Mytilus edulis: one gene and its partners. Each later gene encodes a partner of the first gene's protein in a complex. Links are inferred from orthologs where the notes say so. Each region holds a gene or a part of one and is shown on either strand. Other genes may lie near its edges.

Region 1 (6,934 bases):
CTAATGCATTGGCGACATCACTTTCACTTTGGCCAGCGCTTTGTGGTTTAACATCATCATCTGTGACCCCAGCCTCTTTCTTTAACAACTCTTCTGTACACTACAACAATAAAAGTGAACAACTTTGCACAACTCAGTTCAACATCTCCTTATTTTTATATAGGGTTTTTACCACTTACAATAGTAAATGTTTGTAATGTTTTACTAGTCTTGGAAATTGAACTATTTGATAACGATGCAGACTGGTAGACCAGTAAAAACCTAATATTGACCTTTGGACTGAAGGTTCACATGACCTACAGTATTAGCTACGGTCCCCAAATAGTCAAAAAATAGCATAAGGACCTAAGAGCTATGGTTCCGCAACTAGTACAATATATGCCCTGATCAAAAAATTTTGAAATTTTCAGAAATCTTTCAGAAACCTTTCTTCAAAGCAAACTTCCAACATTCAGGATAATTAATGAACACATGCTAAAATAAGTGATTTATTAAATGCATGTCATTTTGTTTCTGTGTAATGTATTATAATGTCAATTTTAAAAGCTTACCAGAGCTTGTGTTTATTTGTTTGCAATGTATGGACAATGAATAAAATTTTGATTTACATGGAATGTTTACACAAATGTTTTGAACCAGGAATTAATACTCTACAAGGCAGCACTCGCACCCGCAAAGTGGAAAGGGATTAATATAAGTTACCATAACTTGTTTCCCAATCCTATAAATAAATATGTTTAAACTAATATTATTCTAATTTTAACTTATTAATTCATGTAAACAATAAACTGGTCTAATATAAACAAAACAAAGATATTAAGATTGTCATAGCGACATCACACCATATCTTCAGGGATGATTCCAGGTGTTTTCAAATGGGTCCCTTGAACATCAAATTGGGAATTTTTATTCTAATTGGGAATTTTTTAAGCATAAAATCTAAGACGAAATAACATTATTTTTCTGAAAAACGGAAAATGTATATTATTAAGTTTAACCTGTCATGTCTGTACACTGATGTTCATGTAAGTTGTAACATTTTGAATAATTCTGGATGGGCTACTGTTATTACATGAATATCATTGAACATGATGCACTAGTCTATCATCTTAGCTATAGTTACTTAGGCCTATTATAAAAACATATATTTCAGCTAACATTAACCATTGAAAAAAATCATTCATCAGGTATTTTTTCAACAGCAGGTCATCTCTATAAATTTACCTGAATTCAAATGGATTTCAAATTGAACTGGTCAATTGTCGAATTCAGAAAAGCAAAAATTTTACAAAGGTTCATATACTTGATTGATAAGATATCTAAAGCATTGAACCAGTGTTCTTTAAAATTATTTGGATCATCTTCAAAACTTTTGAAATAGTTCAATAATGATGACATCGTATTTCATGAATGGTCTATCATCAACATTATTTTCAAAAAACGCTCAAACTTTTGTCTTTTGAGGAAATAATTTCTTTTACAAAACAAGTGTTCATCATATTATATAACTGGCTCTGCTGGGCAATCTGCTTTTACGAGATCGGCGTCCATTAAACCTTATCCATCAATGTTATATTTGAATTTGCTCTCTGCCGAGGTCTGCTTTGACACCCATTTTTATCAACCTGCTGGCCGATCTGCTTTTACAAGATCCAATACTACCATAACATATCAATTAATTGTATTCGGCTGTTTAAATTGTTTCCCACATGTTGACATAATTGAATCGTTGTTACTAAGATGCGACCGTAAACAGCATTCTTATCTGGATTTTAAAACGTTTTGACAACAAACTATGAAAAATTATAGTTGCCTTAATCGGTGACAGAAACTTTTCCTGAAATATCGATTTTATTTTATTTTCCTGAATTGGGAATTCATTTTCATGTACATTTTTTGGGGGCCGCTGGCCAATTTAAGGGCCGCTCAGCGGCCCTGAACTATATAGTGGAATCATCCCTGATCTTACAATTGTGTATTACATGTATGTATGTGGACTTGACCTTCTTTTCGAGCTAAGTTTTGTTTACATTTGAAAACATGCTATTTATGAACTGAGGGAATAAGGAAAAGTAGGCTAAAATCAGAAAATATTATTTTTACTGTAAACAGGCTATTATTTGAACTTGGAATTATTTTTAATTATGGAATTTGCATAATTTCTTGTGTTTAAATTTTTTTATAAATTCCATGTTTATTTGGTATTATGATCTTTTGAGCGGTTAATAACACCAAGGATTTGTATAGTACTATACAAATCCTTGATAACACTTTCCATACAATGGTGTTGTGCGCAGCACAGTACATTCTATTAAAAATATACTATTTTCTTTGTTAAATAGAAAGTGTTGTGCGCAGCACAGAACATTTCAGTACAGACTAAACATGGAATTTATTAAAAATTTCAATAACACGAAATCAAGCAAATTCCATAATTAAAAATAATTCCAAGTTCAAATAATATTAATAGCCTGTTTGTTGTAAAATGTCTGAAAACTTGAAATGTTGAATTTAATGCTTGCTTGAAGCAAGTTTTATTCTGTCCTTGAAATACCAACAAATATAGAAAACATGAGCGATTTCGCGTACTACTTTTATTTTAACCATGCACATTGCTATCGAGAAATGATTACTACGAGAACAGTTGACTACACAATACTTTAGGCCTATGGCTCATCTTTTTTGTTGTGGTTTGTTTAAAATAAAAGTTTTAGTTCAGTTAGGATAAAAGGTAATGTACTGTTAGTTTAGACCTGTATTGACTATTTAGGCTATTGGTTTGGGAAACTGACTTCAGAGTATTTTCAAGTTACCACTAACAGGGGCGAAATAGCGGGCATAATTAATTATATACGAAGTTGATCAAGATATATAGATTGGTCGACCTTTAAGTTGTTTTTCTTTAGAAATTGTAAAACAGCTAATAGTGTCTGTTTGTCTGAAACATCTGATTTAGGAGAAGACTGTGACTGTAAACTATTCATTTTAAAAGTGGTTTTCGCTTAATCTGTTAACCGTCCGCATCTTCACACACCATAGGGAAGATAGGTATAGGATTGGAAGGTACCAGTCAATAGTCTTTAAATTTTCTATAAAAATAAAATGAACAAATAAATAAACTAAAAGTAGATGCATATTATATTTCAGAAAAATATTTATTGTTTCGAATTTGCATGTGATTGATATCATTTATATGTTTATTTTATAGATTATTCCTAATGCTAAATAACCCATTTTGAACATAGGCTATGTCCTTTCTTCCGCTTTCGTGTTGCTGGTAGGTCGTATGAAATTTTCGAAAAACAAATCCATTTGAATCACTCTAACTTTTTGTCATCTTCTGTTAATTTGTTATTCTACAGTTGTATTTTCATCTCTTTCAGATAATATAGCAAGATGAGAGCAAAGGTAAGCATGTAACTTAATATTTTTTATCGAATTAGTCTTGCACATAAACATGTCGGATAACACGCATTTACGTCCGACCATTGATGAATGTTGTTTGTTGCGGGGAGAAAGTTCATTTGTGACACTTAGTGAATTGCAACATACTGCATATCAGAGTTCTAATGATATGTGGCAAAACTGTTCGTGATGTATAAATTTTAATTTGAGGTCTTTGAACGTAAAACTTGGACCATGTGGACTGCTGGTGCAGCATGCGAAGCCGAAGTCCGTGGGTGTCTGTCAACACATCTCGTGTCTTGTAGTAACCAATTGTTCAACAATATCTATTATATTTATTATTCATATTTACAATGCGTGTGCTTAAATTGAATACTAAGATAGCCTAGCAATTCCAGAAATTGACCCCCCTTTTCTGCCAGGTAATGGTCATAATCAACGAACCATCGTTTAGTGCGCATTTATGACTACCCCCTCCCCCAAAACTTTTCAAAGAAAGCCATATAATTTTCAAAGTTGAATTGTTTCACGTGTTTCAAAAGTAACTGGATTTCCACCTTATTGCTGAACCAATTTTGAGTGGCAAGTACCAAAAAACTTCCCAAACCCAGCATCTTTCATATTGGCCTCGGAACCTTACATGTAGCCAAAGGTCTGAATGTTATATATTTACTATGAGAGCTACAGATTTTTCCCCTTCGAAACGTTTGGAATTTCACTTATTTTCCAAAAATTTGTTAATAATCCATGCCAATGAGAAAACTCTCCACAAAAGACCAAAATGACAGGTATCGGGACCGTTCGCCCTAATAACATGTTGGCCCTAGGTTCGTTCGCCCAGAGTCCGTTCGCCCTACTATAAAAATATTAATAAAATATTCAGGGCTAAAATTTAGTATAGTTTAGTTTAAGTTGAATAAACTTATTCAGATATTTCTATGGTATATATATATCATGTATATTCTTGAAATTTATGGAAACATTGAAATATTTAAAAGTTTATGGTTTGTTTATGATCTTTAATTGTTCAATGACAAAATAATTCGGATAACTGATTATTGTGAAACTTGTCTTTTGATGGATTAATAATAAAAACAAACGTTTTATTTTAATAAAATATTCAGCTTGAAATTAATAAAACCAATGATGTACGAACTGTAAATTATGAAACGGATTTACAAGTTCATTATGACAATAATTTATACTGCATACTTTCGTGATTGACTGATTACAATGATTTTGTTAACAAATATCAATAAAGATAAATACATTGTATTCCAGTATTCTACTCTGCAAATCAAAGGGAAAATGATAAATTGATTGCGGCAATATTAATATTCTGTCAATTTTTCAACAAACTTTAACATATTTTGTTCAAATACTTAAAATAATGCGACAAGACAACAATTAGAAAAAAATAATAATCAGGGCGAACAGGTACTAGGGCGAACATGAATCAGGGCAAACGGACCCGGATTCAAAATGACATAGCAATTATTAACTATGGGTCGCCCAATGGCCTTCAACGATATAGTTTGTTTCGTTTCATATTTTTTCTAGGATATGATGTACCTATGTATGTTTGAGTATTTATTTCCTTAACATTATCCTATTTACATTTGTAAACCTCCGTCTAATTTGTTCAGCCATATTGAATCTCGTTATGAGTGGTAAAATTTTATATCAAGTTTACATTGGACTTCTCTTTTTCAGTGGCGTAAGAAGCGTATGAGGAGGTTGAAGCGTAAAAGGAGGAAGATGAGGGCAAGGTAATTATATTAGCTTGTATAAGTAGTGATTTAATTTGGTCCTGCTGAAAAAGGTTATAAATTAGAACTTGAGAAGCTGTCAATATTTCAGTTTGGAGCCTATTTCTATAATTTTGATATAATTTGTCTTAAAAGTAGTAGTACAAACTAAATAAATTATATTGAGAAAGTGCAGGTGGTATTTTTTTTCTCCTCTCTCCTATATTGTCTAAAGAAATGCACTGTGAACTATCTGGACCATTTCCAAAAGATCAATACACCTTTTCGCTAATTAGTCTTTTCCAGGGGGAATTGTTACCAAGACAAATTGCTGATGAGATGGTTGAACAAAACTAAAGTCATCATCAATGAGCTGAGAAAAGAGTGGCCATTTGAAATTTTGCTAGTTAAAAGAACGAATTTTAAGCCCAACCTAGGACCATTAACTTGTTCGGTTTGTGAATCTGTCTGTCCGTCCTGCTCAATTTTTTGGTCAAGGTAGTTTTTTCTGAGGTTACACATCTACCATATGACATGATTAATATATGATTTTAATGTCAAATTAGTTTTGACCTTAATTTCACTGTCATCTGATCAGTAACAGAAAATGATAGTGCGAGTTTGGCATTATTGTTACATGGATGAAATTTTGTCAATAGATGAATTAAGTCCATAAAAATGTTTTGTTAGGGTAAACAACGGTTAAATGATGCCTCTGAATGAAAAGTTTGAGGCACGATATTTTGTGTGAACAAAGCCAACACACTTCAGATGGGAATGTAGTGAAAAGGTGTATATCAATGGAACGTGGATAACATAACTTGTCAAACAAGTGAACAGATTTTCAACATTCACTTTCGTTATAAACCTACTTGGTTCAGTAGTGAAGTAGCTGCAAATCCAGCCAATTTTGTGTCATTTCCTTCATTTGTTATATATTCATTTGTCCTGTGAAGAACGAGAACAAAATGATACAACAATTCGTCATAACAGACCAGATGACAGAATTTAATAACAATGGTCACCATCAGACTTTCAACAATGAGCTAAGCCCATATCACAGTCGACTATAAAAGGTCCCGAAATAACTAATGTAAATGAGATAAAACTGACGGCCCAATTTATGTAAAAAATAATGAATGAAAATGAAATATGTAACCGCAACAAACGAGGACCACTAAATAATAGGCTCCTGACTTTGCATAGGCACTTGCAGAATAAGGCAGGTTTAAACATGCTCCCAATCATGTGACGAGTGGTTCATCACTGCAGTCTGCACGGTTAGCCACTAATCCGATGCCCCAGACTAGTAAAGTTTCTTTCAGACTAGTAAGTTTTTGCAAAACTTTGTTTGGACCAATAAGAAAAATGTCGGAATATTGGTCTTCGGACTAGTAGTTGAAAAAGTTTTTGGTGCAGACTGCATCAGAATAGTACAATACATTCCTGAAAAATCTCAAAACATCATTTTGCCTGTTCCAACCCCCAAGTTTCTTGATTTGTAGTCTTAGACGTTTAAAGTAATTGAAATGAAGACTGAACGTGATTGAAAATATGAAACACTATTATACTCTACACAATTGCATTCTGTTTTGTCATTGAACGCAAGATATCCATAAGTTTTAACGTTATTAGGGTTAATGGTTTAATCAACTACATGTACATTTGTTTACTTTCAGGTCTAAGTAGACGTTGCCATCGTTTATTTTTAAGACTCCAATTGATGTGTTCAGCTATAGACCAAGGTATTGCAACCATGTGTTCAGTTGAGAACTCCTATT
Region 2 (8,018 bases), on another chromosome or scaffold:
AAAAACTGTGCTTGTCGCTAACAAGTTGAGATGGAAGGCATTTCTGTAAAGGCATAGTTTTATTTTGATGACTTAAATTCAATTCTAAAGTCATGAAAGTCTTCATTTATACGCTCTTCCATTGTGACTTGGAGATCGAAAATGCTGACCCAAGCTAAACACACTCGCTTACACATTCATCAAAAGTATGACAAAAAGATACATTGTCCTAATTAAATTACCTAGTTATTAACACCTTTGAAGTCTTTATCATTGTAATTGATTGTAATGACATGATTAACCTGGGGGCAATCACACAGGTGTCATATATGTAATTAACTTGGAGATCAGTAATCGATGAAACAAAATTTTACCAAAACGGCACAAGATAATTTTGGAAAAAGACGTCAGGGCAGAAGGGCGCGGATGAAGGCACCCAGGGCGCGGCTGAGGGCACCCAGGGCGCGGCGCCCTTCTATTTTGGGCTAGCGAGACCACTGCATATACATGTACATATTTTAAAGTTTTAAGATCAATGCTAAAGAAAAATCCATGTCAATTTTACAACAATATTTAAAGTAAAAATAATGCCAATATCAACTCTGCAATTGACAACAATCAAGATTTTTAAGATACTGAAATTGACTATCCATAAAAAGTTTTTTCAATTTGAATACATTTTTCATAAATTTTCAGGTTGAATTATGCAAATAACAAACTTCCTCCATTTTAAATTGTAAAATTTGCTATATTTGAAAATATTATACCAAAAAGAGAGAATAGTGGGTAAGAAACTAGTACCAATTTTATTGAAATCAAACATTTAATTTGAAATTTCAAGGAACATTTAGAAAAATATTTGTAGCCTTGAGATTTTTTCACTAAGATATGGCATTTTTTGTGTAATTTATTACTCTTGTTTTATCAAACACTTGGACTATTTTGTGAAATAAACATGATATGCAATTGTGTAAAACATGTCTGTCTTGAAAAACTTACGTGGGAGAAATACTGTTTTATTTGGTCTTTTTGCATGCCCTGGTAATGCATGAATATTTTGACCTAAAAATGCAAACATAAATTTATACATGGATAAAAAATTTATATTTATCTCTTTTGTATGGGTATTTTTTCAACAAAATCCGCAGCATTTTTGTGCCTGTCCCAGGCAGGAGCCTCTGGCCTTTGTTAGTCTTGTATTATTTTTAATTTTAGTTTCTTGTGTACAATTTGGAGTTTAGTATGGCGTTCATTATCACTGTACTAGTATATATATTTGTTTAGGGGCCAGCTGAAGGACGCCTCCGGGCGCGGGAATTTCTCGCTGTATTGAAGACCTGTTGGTGACCTTCTGCTGTTGCCTTCTCTATGGTCGGGTTGTTGTCTCTTTGACACACTCTTTGCCCGATTTCCCCATTTCCATTCTCAATTTTAGATTTCATGTAGATATGACAAACCATGAAGGAGGACAGGATAATTTCTAAAAAGGGTAAACATTTCTGTGATGAAAGGGACATAGTCATGGATATTCTAAACATAATGAAAAATCCTTCAAATGGTGATGCTTGCATATCCTGATCAATTAATCTACAAAGTTTGAAATAAATCAAATAAAGAATAGTGAAGTTGGTATGGACAAACAGACAGCATGGTTCCTATATACATGTACCCCCAAACTTTGCAAGGGGTATAACAATTTTTTTTATACATAGATTAGACCATTGGTTTTCACGTTTGAATGGTTTTACATTAGTAATTTTTGGGGCGCTTTATACATTTGTAGCTTGCTGTTCAGTGTGAGACAAAGCTCTGTGTTGAAGGTCAGACTTTGACCTATAATGGTTTACTTTTATAAATTGTTACTTGGATGGAGAGTTGTCTCATTGGCACTCATGCCACATCTTCCTATATCTATATATGTATAACCATGTATCATACATAATATATAATACAAACCCATTTCAATCAAAGCCATTATAACATCTGTCATGATTCCTTCTGTTCTGCCAGCTAATTCTGCAAAGGCCTGTGTACTCCTGCCAAGCTCCATTAAAACTTTAAGTAAAAATAAAGGAGTTCCTAAAAATATCATGGTATTCTCTAATAGTATTTAAGTAATTTTATTTATGTTAGGTGTTAATAAAAATATTATCCAAATACAAATAATGTTCATAGGTAATACACCAATGGCCCAGGTAAGGTTCTTGACTGATCAGATTGACATTCACACTAAAAAGCACAGCACAAGATCTTGGATATACAACAAAGACTTTTAGTATTTAAAAGTATATATTTAACAGGGTAAAAAAAAAAGAAAAAAGTCATATTTAAAGATACGCCGGTTGAACTTTTGACATCCAACAACAATCATTTTTCCATTGTGGAGTCAAACATTTTCTATTGTGACGTCAAAATTTTACGGGAACCTTTGTGATGTCCAGTAATTACTGAGGGGTGGTAGGACTGGTCCTGATTCTGAAATTCCGGGCTTAAAAACATCAGATCCCGCAATCCCGGCTTAAAATCACTAAATCATGAGGTCCCGAAAATCGAAAAGAAGAATTCCCGGATCCCGAAATCCCGAGCTCAAAAACACCCAATCCCGGAGTCCCGATAAAGGTCCTATCCCCCCTCATTACTAATGTCTGACAAATTGTCATAATTTGACATAAGGTGTATTTACCAGTATCATGCTCCCTGCTGCTATTGTTCCTTCAAAGGCCTAAGGCTTTTGGAGTTGTTTCAGTTAGTTTCTATAAAGCATTGAAATGGCATACAGTTTTTACAACTTACAACTTTCCAGCATTTCAGTCAATGTTTCAATGACTGACTCTTCAGCTGTCTGGAACCCTACTTCTAAACACAGTGCACTAACTGCCACTTTTAATGCTTTCCGCGATGAAACAGCATGTTGGTCATTTTCGGATGCCATTTTTGCTGTGGTTAGTATGTAAATTACTCCATTATTTGATCGTTTTCAACAATAAATGGGCTTTTGTTGTCACTTTGACTTCCATGTTTGTTTCCTGAGGTAAAGTCTAGAGGTATTCAGGTCTCATTCCGAATGAAAACAGGTATTAACCGAAATTAGTTTGTTTAATGAATCGACTAGTCACGTACCAAATAAGAAAGTAGGTCCCTAAATGTTATCTAACCCAGCTATAAAAAAAAAACCCAAAAAAAACAGATACTGAAGGAACATACTCGTGATAAACTTTTAAAAAATTGTCACAAAAACAGACGAAAAAGTTAAAATCCTAATTAAAAAAAAAGGTATATTAATTATTATCAAACTCTCCGGCTAATAATGAATAAACAACACCAGCGGAATGAAAGTCATTAAATGTATCTAAAGAAAATTCGTAAATCTCATCAAGGATGATCTCATATATATAATAATCAAATGGAATAATAGTCACAACCTTACTCACCAAAAAAGAAACAAGTAAAAATGTGAACTACATTTAGAATAAGTGATCATTGGTTTTTAATCAGAAACTGGACGATATACAAAAATACCAAGACATGAAAGAAAATGTAAAATATGTCACATCTTAGTTGATGAATTCCACCTTTTCTTTAACTGTAAACTTAATTTAAATAATAGAAAAACCTTTAAAAATGTATTGAAAAATATGTAAATTGCAATACACTGCGGAGGAAATGAGACCAATAATTTCTGGGCCTTTTATAGCTGACTATGCGGTATGGGCTTTGTTTTTTTTATATTTAACATGTATATTATTATTGCTGAGTTTTTATTATGTTTGTTTTGTATCTGTATTGCTATTACCAAAATTGTTTTTGTTTGTTTGGGAATAAAGAATTTAAAGTCGGCATATATGTTCACCATAACAGAGAAAAATTTTCATACTATCATATAAAAATCACACTGCTCAGCCTCCATTCAGGTACTAAGAAATAAGATTTTTAAAAAAAGTAGCCTATGTGAATGTAATAAAATAATTTAAAAAAAAAAGTGATTTCTGGACGTCCAGGGTCACTTCATGATGGTGCTCATCACGGCTGCAAACACCTTCATATGCATTGCATGGGTGAGAACCAGCAATGACTAACAAACTAAAAAGCATAAACATATAAATTGGCTTTTTATAGCAGCTCAATGATCCGTATAAAATAATGTATAAAAAGCAGCTAGAGCAGAAAGCCGGAAATAAAAAGGAAGAAAATTAAGCTACGATGTAGAGCTGGATACTAGAGTAATGGACTTTTGATAATCATAAGAAGATGTGGTATGAGTTCAAAAGAGGCAACTCTCCATTCAAGTCATAATTTGTTAAAATTAAACACTTAAAGGTCAAAGAATGGCCTTCAACACAGAGACTTTGCTCATACCGAACAGCAAGCAATAAAGGACACCAAAATGACTATTGCAAAACAATTCAAACAGGAAAACCAATAGTCTAATCTGTATAAATAACGAGAAACGAGAAACACTTATGAACTACATTAACAAACGACCACCACTACAGGTTCCTGACTTATGACAGGTGCAAACAAATACAACAGGTTTAAACGTTTTAACTGGTGCCAACTTTCACCCTAATTAACCTGAAATAGTAGCAGAACATTACATTCAGATTCAATGTTTTATAAGAATCTCACCACTTAATTGTAATACATATAATCTCTTGTCTGGTATGTAAAATGTTGATATTAATTGATATGATAATATGATAGTTATATATATATAGGCTTCCCCTAGATAATACTTAAGCATATGACTTTACGTCCTTGACATTTATTCATGATCCATTTTTTTTTCTAATATATCATTTTTATTTGCATTTTTTTTATCCGATTTTGTACAAAAATACTTTTTGGTAAGAAAAATTCCTTTCAAACCCAACTTCTGCCAAACCAATCAATGCATAAGAACAATATGAATTTCATTAAAACGAATGTCCGAACTTAGAATGTGACCAAAACTACTGTGGCTGAACTGATTGGTGGCCGAAACGACATGTGGACGAACTAGAAGTGTGGCCGAAACATCTCGAAAGCGTCCGCCTAAAGTAACAAATATGTAGCCAACCAACAAACACTAAACATCTTGATAATGTCAGTTTTAGAGAATTTTTGCTTTATAATATATAGTCTGAGCGGTTTTTTTTACCAAATCATGAAATGTAAATATATATGTCAGTTATCTTCTTTATTATTAAGATAACTATAAATATTACAAAACAACATTTCAAAGTGTCACATGTAATATATATATAATAATATAATTGTAACCATATTTTTAAAAATTGTTTCTTATTTCTAACGCATTCGGTATTTAAAAGTTTAGAAACTAAAAAATATTCATTACACAAATCTTTTAAATCTAAACCATAAGATTGGAAAATAGTTTGCCTTATATCTTTATATTTATCACAAGATATCAAAAAATGTGCTTTAGTCTCTACTTTAGTGCAAAATTTGCAAAAACGCTGTTCTCTTGGAATTTGGGGTTTATTATATCTACCCCGTTCTATATTTAAACAATGAGCACTGATACGTAGTTGTATAATTTTACTAGTCTTTTCATATTTTTTGTAAGATTGGTTTAAAGATAGTAGGGAACAAAATTTGGAACAAAAATATTACTGAAAAGCACCAGTTTACTGTCCACAGCTCCAGATTTGATATTTTGTAGTTGTATGTCAGCTTGCTGCCTAAAGTATCTTATCACTATTTAAAATGTTGTTTTTTTTGTATCAAGTTTAGTTAAGTACTTTAAATATCATTTTAAGTTTTCATTAGATAATTCTTGATCTGCAGTAAATGCACTTTGTAATATTTTACCTCTATTTATTTTTAGTAATCTCATATACTTATTATACATTAAACATAATGAATCTGAAATCAACATTGGATTCCTGTTACATCAGAATGTCATTTGATTATATTGAAGCAAACAACCTATTATTATTTTAATACATAGATCTTATTAAATGAAACCTCCTTTTAATGTACATTTTATGCATATTAAAAAGCAAATTCAAATGAAACATAATTTTAAATATAAATAAAACTAAGTCACATACTTAAGTGAATATACTTGTATGGTAGAATAGTTTGCAATAAAAAGGTCCATGAAAATATGCCTTGCATGACATTTCTATTGTTTATTGTTTATTTATATGTGCTGTACATATGTTGGAAATTTTGTTTTATCATTTAAAAAAGCTCCTAATTAAAGGAGGCTTATACCAGGAAGAAGAAGATAGAAAATACATATTTTTTTCAAATTTAGTTGAAGTTCCATAAATACATGTCGCTCTTCTGCCCTGCCACAGACAGGACAGAACATTACAGAAAAAACTGAGAATTCGAAAACGTCCGGGATCGTCCGACATAAATTGTATATTACTCAGGACTGTGGGAAAGGTTTTAACACTTCTTTTTGATGGTGTTGCGGCGGTGACATTTTTGCCAGAGGTTATATTGCTGAAAACACGCTTGCCATCGAAATTTATACATTTAAGACAGCTGAATATGGAAAAGGTTACCTCTCAGGTTTGCAATTTAAATGAAACAATAAATATAAAGTTTCAAACTGGGACACGGAGCACCTCTCACCACTGTAATTGCGGGTATATCCTATAACCTTAGTTCTATTGACATTGCATAATGCAAACAATGTTTTACTAGCACATTAGAAATATCACACAATGATAACTGTTCATTGATTTGTCTCTCATTGATTGTTTAAAAGTAATTGATAGAAACATTGATTATTATTTGGAAATGTAACTTTGTTTGAGCTGCAATGGCCAATGTGCCTCATGTAAGACACAGGGCACACCCTCCTAAATTGGAGGATGGAGGATAGATATGCAAATGTACTAATAAAATAACTGATTCTTATTACCAAGGATCTTACTATACAAATCCTTGTTACAATAACCTAATTTATTTTTTACATTTTCCCACTCTTTACATTAAGTTTTTATAGGGTGTATATAGCCATTCAAATGCCTTGATCGTTCGAAATAAAAGGGGGGAACCACCCAGAACCCAACCCCATTTTTTTTTTAAATCCCCCTGAATCCATCACTACCAAATCATCATCATCCATGTCTCCAATGGCTGTTTCAAATTACCCATACTATGAAATTAGGAGGGAATTTGGCAGTGGAGATAGTTTTTTTACTTGTCAATCTGCAAGTAATTTTCTTTTCAAGATGCTTACAGAAATATTTGATATCAGATTGAGATTGTAATTAATCATTAATGAACAGTCTCTATAATGAGAGGTACATCTCTATTGACTCTAATGACTTTTAGGTCACCATGTCAAAGGTCAAGGTTATTGTTTAAAAATAGAAAAAAAAAATCCAGAATAAAAGGGGTACCACCATTTCCCCAAGAAATACAAGTACAACGTAATATCCCCAAAACAAACTGATATATCCCAATAACAAGATTTTCATGGTGTTATACTGTGTTAAATTAGTGTAACAGCATACAATTATAAGGATTAAGGCGTTCATAATTAATAAAAGTATGCACAATCTTCAGAAAAACGATTTGTATATCTTGTATGCAAACTCCTTGTTGAAAACAATATGGCAGAAGTTATAGTTTTTATACAAGGCATAGTAATAAAAGTGCAATTATGTACACTTCAAGAATTCGATGTGTATCATACACATCGAATTCTTGAAGTGTACATAATTGCACTTTTATTGAGAAAAACGAGAAATATCTTTAATTAATATTCTTTGATATTGTTAAAAGTAGTAAACAGTAACACCATTAAAAGTAGCATAACACCATAACAAATCTTTTTATCGGGATATATCAGTTTGTTTTGGGGATATTATAAAAGTTCTTGTATTTCTCGGGAAATCGTGGTACCGGAATAAAAGTTTCAATTTGAGGTCAAGGTTGTAGTTTTTCTTTCTTTATAAATAATGCAATCCTCCCATGGGAGTATTGTACTGTAGTTACCAAAAATAAACTGACATTTGTGAAAAAAAAGTGTTTTCCAGATCTGTGCTAATTATTTACAAAAATCAAATACTTCA
Region 3 (7,027 bases), on another chromosome or scaffold:
TATACCTGAGAGCCTCCTTAACAATGGTTAAAGACATTATGTTGCTCACATAAACATGATAGACTTGAGCAGTGTAAAAAAAAAAAAAAAGAAAGAAAGAAAGAAAAATCCCTACCTACATGTACCTTCCCTTACTTTTTTTAAGATATATACATGTACTGGTAACTGGACCAAACATATTATTTTATTTGGTCTTATATCTTAAAACGAATCATGTGTGACTTATGGCATTATTAGTAAAAAAATGTATTTTGCAAAATTGGCATATCCCTGTTTGATTTTAGACAATAGTGTTTTTTTACTGAGTTTACTAATACTATTAAAGTAAATTTAATAATCAACTCCCTATACATCAGTTCAACAAAATTTTACTTTTCTGGTTTCTTGATCAACACCATGATCATTAGCAGGAAGCTAAGTCAGTAAGTGGTCATCAAAGCTTGTTATGGTATATGTAACCGAATAAGATGCTCCAAATTCCAATATACATTGTATAAAACTGAGAATGGAAATGGGGAATGTGCCAAAGAGACAACAACCCGACCATAGAAAAAAACAAAAAAAACAACAGCAGTTGTACATGTACATGTATATCTTAAAATCTATTTTGGATAAAATTAAAAAATGCATTATACCTCAACTGTTTAGATATGTATTTTAGTAGTGCTTTGGCACTCACACCACATCTTCCTATATCTTTGCTAGTATTTCAATATGCCTGTCAGGCTGTGTAACATTGTTATATATCTTGTCTGCATGTTTGTGTTTTAATGATTTTATATTCGGTAAAAAACTCTTTCAAAAATACATGTATTGCTATATGTGAACCGAATCAAAATAAAACTTTCGTATTCGTATTGGTGTATCCCATTGTACATGTACGTCAAATAGTGGATTATACTTAAATTGAGGTATAAGCCACTAATTTATCACTCATACATGTCATATAAATTAATAGTTATTCTTGACCTGTACAAGTTCAGATACATTGTAATCATGCAGTATGATGTGGATACCTTTCCATCATGTTCATATTGACTATTTTTAAAGGGGTCAAAGCAGAAGATTAAAATAGCCTTCCGAGACGTCATAATTATTTGGACAAAAATAATTAGAACATTATGTACATGTATACATAAAATGTATAAACCTGGGAGTTTACAATTACAGATTTAATCACTAATCAGATTGCTTTTAGTTTTTCAATAAATCAATCCTTGAAAAATAAAATTATGTTGAAAAATAGTCCGAGATTACTCTGACGTCCAACGGCTGTTTTGCCAGACAAGCTGGGGCCGTGGGACGTCAGAGCTCGTCCCATATCAAAAAGTGGATATTTGCCCACCCAAAATAGATGCGCTGCTTCGTCGCTTCTGATGCCGACTGATGGCCTTGGAATTATATAAATCGGGCGTCAATCTCTTCATTTATGTAAGTTTCACCTACCTGCGAACCTTTATTTTTCCATATTTTAACAGTTTTCACAGTGACCCATCGATTTCGGCATTTTGACTTTTACTTTCAAATGGGTGCAATCAACAGTTTTTTTTTCTATGACGTCACATTTTGAGGGACCATGCATAAGTGACCCTTAGTGGTGGACTGATTAATAAAGATACTTGTATAAAACTAGATATCACTGGAATCAGAATGTTCACTAGTTTATAATGAAATAAAAATAATGTGTACTTTTAATATATAAAAAATATTCCATCCAATGAACATGGGGGAAAAAAGGTCTAATTTGAACAACAAAAACTTGAAACCAGGTCATGTGCACACCCATGAAGACATGATCCATGCACATTTTACATAATCAAAACTGTATGAAATTTGTAGGTTTTTACCTGGCCTTTCAAAAAAATCTTGTTTCAGGGTACGGTTTCCTGCTCCAAAAAGAGCTACAGTGGCTGCAAATAAGTTTTCAATTTTCACTGCCAAAAAAACAGGTTGTTTACAGTGTTGTCTCCCCTCAAAACATGTAAAGTTAATATAATTTCAAAAATTATTTCAATCATTCAACCTGTTTTAATTCAAAGCTAATTAACTAATTTTTACAATCAAATACAAAAAACATGATACTTTTTCACCAATTGAGTAAATAAACAGGGGTTTCCCTCCATGGTTATTTTTAGTCGGGGAATAACCCCTAGTTTTTTATACGAAACTGTTTATAGCACCCAATGGCAAGAGAGTTTGTGGTCTTGAGACTCAAAATATGCAAATATTTATATTTTTTCACCTCCTTTACAGGAGATCGGTATGAAGCATTTACATGTTTATGTAGTTCTGACCACGTTACAATCTGAAGCTCTCGGACATTTAGATAACTTGCATTGTAAATGAACGAGGTGTTACAGTATGGTCATTTGCATAAATCATCACTGTTTTCTCGTGGTCACGTGATTATCTTCGAAAATGAAAGGCAAAATGCTGAAATCGATGGGTCACTGTGAAAACTGTTAAAATATGGAAAAATCAAGGTTGGCAGGTAGGTGAAACTTACATAAATGAAGAGATAAATGAAAAATGAACAGATTGACGCCCGATTTATATAATTCCAAGGCTGTCAGTCGGCATCAGAAGCGACGAAGCAGCGCATCTTTTTTGGGTGGGCAAATATCCACTTTTTGATATGGGACGAGCTCTGACATCCCACGGCCCCTGCTTGTCTGGCAAAACAGCCGTTGGACATCAGAGTAATCTCGGACTAGTTGAAAAAATAATCAACCCGGTTTTTAAATTATGCCTATCAAGTTTAAGACTGCAATTAAATTTCTGTTCAAAAAGTGCCAAAAGGGGAGGTAATTACTCTACTCTAGTGTTTATGCAAGCAAATGAGTTATGGCTATGAAGGAAAAACTGTACCTGCTGTCCACATGCCTGTCCTTGAAAGCATTCAACAAAGTGTCAAAATCAATGCAACATTTAAATTATTTGCACGAAACACAGCCCCAGAAGGAAATAATTCAAAACAGGTAGCTGAATCTTTTTCGGCTCGAAACAACCGGAAGCAGAGTTATTAAACTAATATATAAACAAGTTCGGAATGAGGAATTTGTTCCGGATTCCTGAATATTTTTTTTTTTTTTTTGCTTTTTAAATGTTTTAAAACTATTATGTGAGAGCAATATTAGTAGGAAATAAAAGGTTTAAATAGTTAAGATTAACAACACAGTCACATAAAATCGCCAGATGAACGAAACTATGGTTATTAACTTTAAACATTTTGAAATCATGTATTATAACATTATAAGCAACACGACGGGTGCCGAGTTTCACTTGTTGTCGAGTATCGAGTTGCGAGTTAGGAAAATCGAGTTGCGAGTTAAGAAAATCGAGTTGCAAGTTAAGAAAGTCGAGTTGCGAGTTACAAAAGTCGAGTTGCGAGTTAAGAAAGTCGAGTTGCGAGTTACGAAAGTCGAGTTGCGAGTTACAAAATTCGAGTTGCGAGTTACAAAAGTCGAGTTGCGAGTTACAAAAGTCGAGTTGCGAGTAACGAAAGTCGAGTTGCGAGTTACAAAAGTCGAGTTGCGAGTTAAGAAAGTCGAGTTGCGAGTTACGAAAGTCGAGTTGCGAGTTACAAAATTCGAGTTGCGAGTTACAAAAGTCGAGTTGCGAGTTACAAAAGTCGAATTGCGAGTTACGAAAGTCGAGTTGCGAGTTACAAAAGTTGAGTTGCGAGTTAAGAAAATCGAGTTGCGAGTTAAGAAAGTCGAGTTGCGAGTTACAAAAGTCGAATTGCGTAAAAATGTGGAAACTAAAATATTTCAATTTTTTGGGGTAACTGATAACATTTCGGAATGATGATTTCTTATAGAATTGTATATAGTGTTGTTGATTATTTTTGTGGTTTGGACTCTATCTGAGTCTCTTGTAAAAATAAAATGGACTAGATAATCACTACGTTTAGTATTTTCTGAAGAAGCAGATAGCCTTTTGAAATACAGCAGATGGCTTGCATTTTAATTATTTTTAAATTTCATACATAGCACCGTCGTATTAAACGTAAAGGGACATAGCAACTAAACTATATTTCATATATGTAAAACACCCCTTCTGCAGATTTCGTATAAAGTGGGCTTTTGGGGGCAGCTGCGGAGCCGGGCAATATTCGTTAGGGACCGCAAAATTTATTGTTTGTCAGTGACACTCAAAATTGAGGATGTTAAAATTATATATGTCTTATGCATTGGCTAGAAATAAAGGGGATATGATGGGCGTGAATAAAACCAGTTTAAACACGCCGCTTTTTTGTGTCTGACCAATTTCAGGAACCTTTAGCCTTTGTTGCTCTTGTATACATTTTAATTTTGGTTCATCTTTATATTTAGCAGCATAGAATGGCGTCTACATTCTTTATTTATCTATATTGTGTTTCGGGCCTGCTCAGGGCTCCCTCTAGATGTGTGATTTTTCGCTGTGTTAATTTGTAGACCTAATGACCTTTGGTTGAATTGTATATTTTGATTTGGTTGCTGTCTTTTTGACTCATTCCCCATTTTTATTCTTTATTTTATAAATGTAGCTGTCAAAGATACTATTGTAAAAACTATATTTGCGCCATTTACAGGTAAGATTTAATTGGAAAGTATAAAATGATTATTACTACATCATGATTTCATACGTATTTTTTTAAAGTCAGTGGCAGATCCAGAAATTTTCATAAGTGGGGGCCCACTGACTGACCTAAGAGGGGGCCCGCTCCAGTGACGCTTCAGTGATTCCCTATATAAGAAAACACTTTTTTTCCCCAAAAAGGGGGCCCCTGGCCCCGCCCCCTCCTAAATCCGCCTCTGAAAGTATTGGGTAACTTATTAAACTGAGTCACTTAGGTTTAAACTTGAGTTATATAGACGTGTTCACATGTTTGATATTGTCAATTATAAGTTATTTTAAACTTAATTAAATTAAACATCAACCCAACAATGTTAGATCTGTAAATTTGCTTTCGCAAATTTTTGGTTCTTCCCTCGCCGGGATTCGAACCCATGCTACTGTGATATCGTGACACCAAATCGCCTGCACTATATATATATATATGTTATAGAGTAAAATTACTTGGATTGTAAGATGATGAAGTTCGCAATTTGAATATTGCTTATAGTGATTTTTTGTATAGCTCTCCCTTTCCATTCTTAAAAAGTCAATATACATTTTAAACCTAGATACTTATAATTGTAAACACATTCTATTATATCTTTTTCGCAATACAAATATTCTTTTAAAATTTTTCCAGGTTTGTTAAACATATTAACTTTGGTTTTAGATAGAGTGACCTCTAAACACTCGTGTTTGAAAGACTTGCCTTGGAACTAGACAAAAAATAACAAGATGAGGCACTCAATTTTGCGGTCATTTATATCAACAGCATCTAGGGTTTCATTTAATGCATCCGGTTAAATTCTTTTATAAAAATCTTAAAAAGGTTGGGATTCAAAATATCCCCTTCGTTTACTTCAATTTGGGAATACAAATTAGAAGTAAGCACATTATCTATTTTCGCACATAATTCACTTTTATTATACATATCTGTCACGATTGCATGGAAATTACTACCTATGTTTGGCGGCAAAAACACACGTTTTTCAAAACGATGGATGTAATAATGAAAACGGAAAATATCGATCTTCAATCGGATTTAAAAAGTCTATATATATATATATATCGATGTACATGTAGTTTTAAAAAGATTAATCTTATTTGAATCGATCTTTTTTCAAGGTTTAAATGTTTAGATCGATCGCTTTTGTCAGGTGAATGTTAATATATATTCAGATATGAAAATAAATCTGCGCATGTTCGGCGTGTTTAAAAATGATGGATGGAATACGAAAAGTAAACATAGATTCGGCTATTTTTTTATTATCTTCTAAATCAATAAGTTCTATTTGTTTGCTGCAAATCCTCATCTTCAAACGCATTGGCCGTGATATAGCCTTTTTGTGCTAATGCGGCGTAAAGCAACCAACAATCAATCGCATTGGCCGTTCGTTATTTAGCGATAGATATATAGTTTACACACATATCTTTGTTTAATGACTTGTGATGTACGATCCAAAATAATGATTAATAAGTCCATACGAAATTCCAATGAGCAAACTATTTTCTCAATGATTTTGCAATGTGTTATAGTTTGCGCGAGATGCAGAATTTCCTTTACTATTCTATTTTTAGGATTATTTGTTTACGAAAGGTAATTTATGGTCAGATCGGTTCTTTTTTTTTGTTGTAGTGTAAACGCATTGAATTAAATAAGATCGATCTTGTCCATTTTAAGGATACATTATTTTTTTTAAATGCTTCCAGAACTTAACTTATATTAGACTCTAATAAATAAGTATCACATAAACTGTTTCAAATCCCACAATCACGGGAATAACTAAGTTCAGGTGCATGCATGTTTTGTTTATCAAATGTGAATCAAACCTGAAAATTCGGTGTAAACAATGTTTTTTTAACTCGCAACTCGACTTTCTTAACTCGCAACTCGACTTTTGTAACTCGCATCTCGACTTTTGTAACTCGCAACTCGACTTTCTTAACTCGCAACTCGACTTTCTTAACTCGCAACTCGACTTTTGTAACTCGCAACTCGACTTTCCTAACTCGCAACTCGACTTTTGTAACTCGCAACTCGACTTTTGTAACTCGCAACTCGACTTTCGTAACTCTCAACTCGACTTTCCTAACTCGCAACTCGACTTTCGTAACTCGCAACTCGACTTTTGTAACTCGCAACTCGACTTTTGTAACTCGCAACTCGACTTTTGTAACTCGCAACTCGACTTTCGTAACTCGCAACTCGACTTTCGTAACTCGCAACTCGACTTTCGTAACTCGCAACTCGACTTTTGTAACTCGAAACTCGACTTGCTTAACTCGCAACTCGACTTTCTTAACTCGCAACTTGCAACTCGACGATAAGAAACCCTCACGGGTGCCACATGTGGAGCAGGATCTGCTTACCCTTCCGAAGCACCTGAGATCACCCCTAGTTTTTGGTGGGGTTCGTGTTGTTTATTCT

What was found.
Region 2: transcription initiation factor TFIID subunit 5-like (region 1) and transcription initiation factor TFIID subunit 8-like share a complex: the UniProt entries of both Homo sapiens proteins name them as parts of the TFIID basal transcription factor complex. The link is inferred for Mytilus edulis from reciprocal best matches to the Homo sapiens genes TAF5 and TAF8.
Region 3: transcription initiation factor TFIID subunit 5-like (region 1) and transcription initiation factor TFIID subunit 6-like share a complex: the UniProt entries of both Homo sapiens proteins name them as parts of the TFIID basal transcription factor complex. The link is inferred for Mytilus edulis from reciprocal best matches to the Homo sapiens genes TAF5 and TAF6.

Annotation. Positions count from the first base shown.
Region 1 is NC_092357.1:14,766,117-14,773,050, forward strand, and holds the start of transcription initiation factor TFIID subunit 5-like, read right to left. Parts: upstream 3,064-6,934; 5' UTR 2,985-3,063; coding exon 2,886-2,984; intron 101-2,885; coding exon 1-100. UniProt on the Homo sapiens protein: The TFIID basal transcription factor complex plays a major role in the initiation of RNA polymerase II (Pol II)-dependent transcription.
Region 2 is NC_092350.1:20,035,793-20,043,810, forward strand, and holds the start of transcription initiation factor TFIID subunit 8-like, read right to left. Parts: upstream 3,027-8,018; 5' UTR 2,912-3,026; coding exon 2,773-2,911; intron 2,035-2,772; coding exon 1,936-2,034; intron 1,042-1,935; coding exon 979-1,041; intron 1-978. UniProt on the Homo sapiens protein: The TFIID basal transcription factor complex plays a major role in the initiation of RNA polymerase II (Pol II)-dependent transcription.
Region 3 is NC_092352.1:41,339,451-41,346,477, reverse strand, and holds the start of transcription initiation factor TFIID subunit 6-like, read right to left. Parts: upstream 3,030-7,027; 5' UTR 2,869-3,029; intron 1-2,868. UniProt on the Homo sapiens protein: The TFIID basal transcription factor complex plays a major role in the initiation of RNA polymerase II (Pol II)-dependent transcription.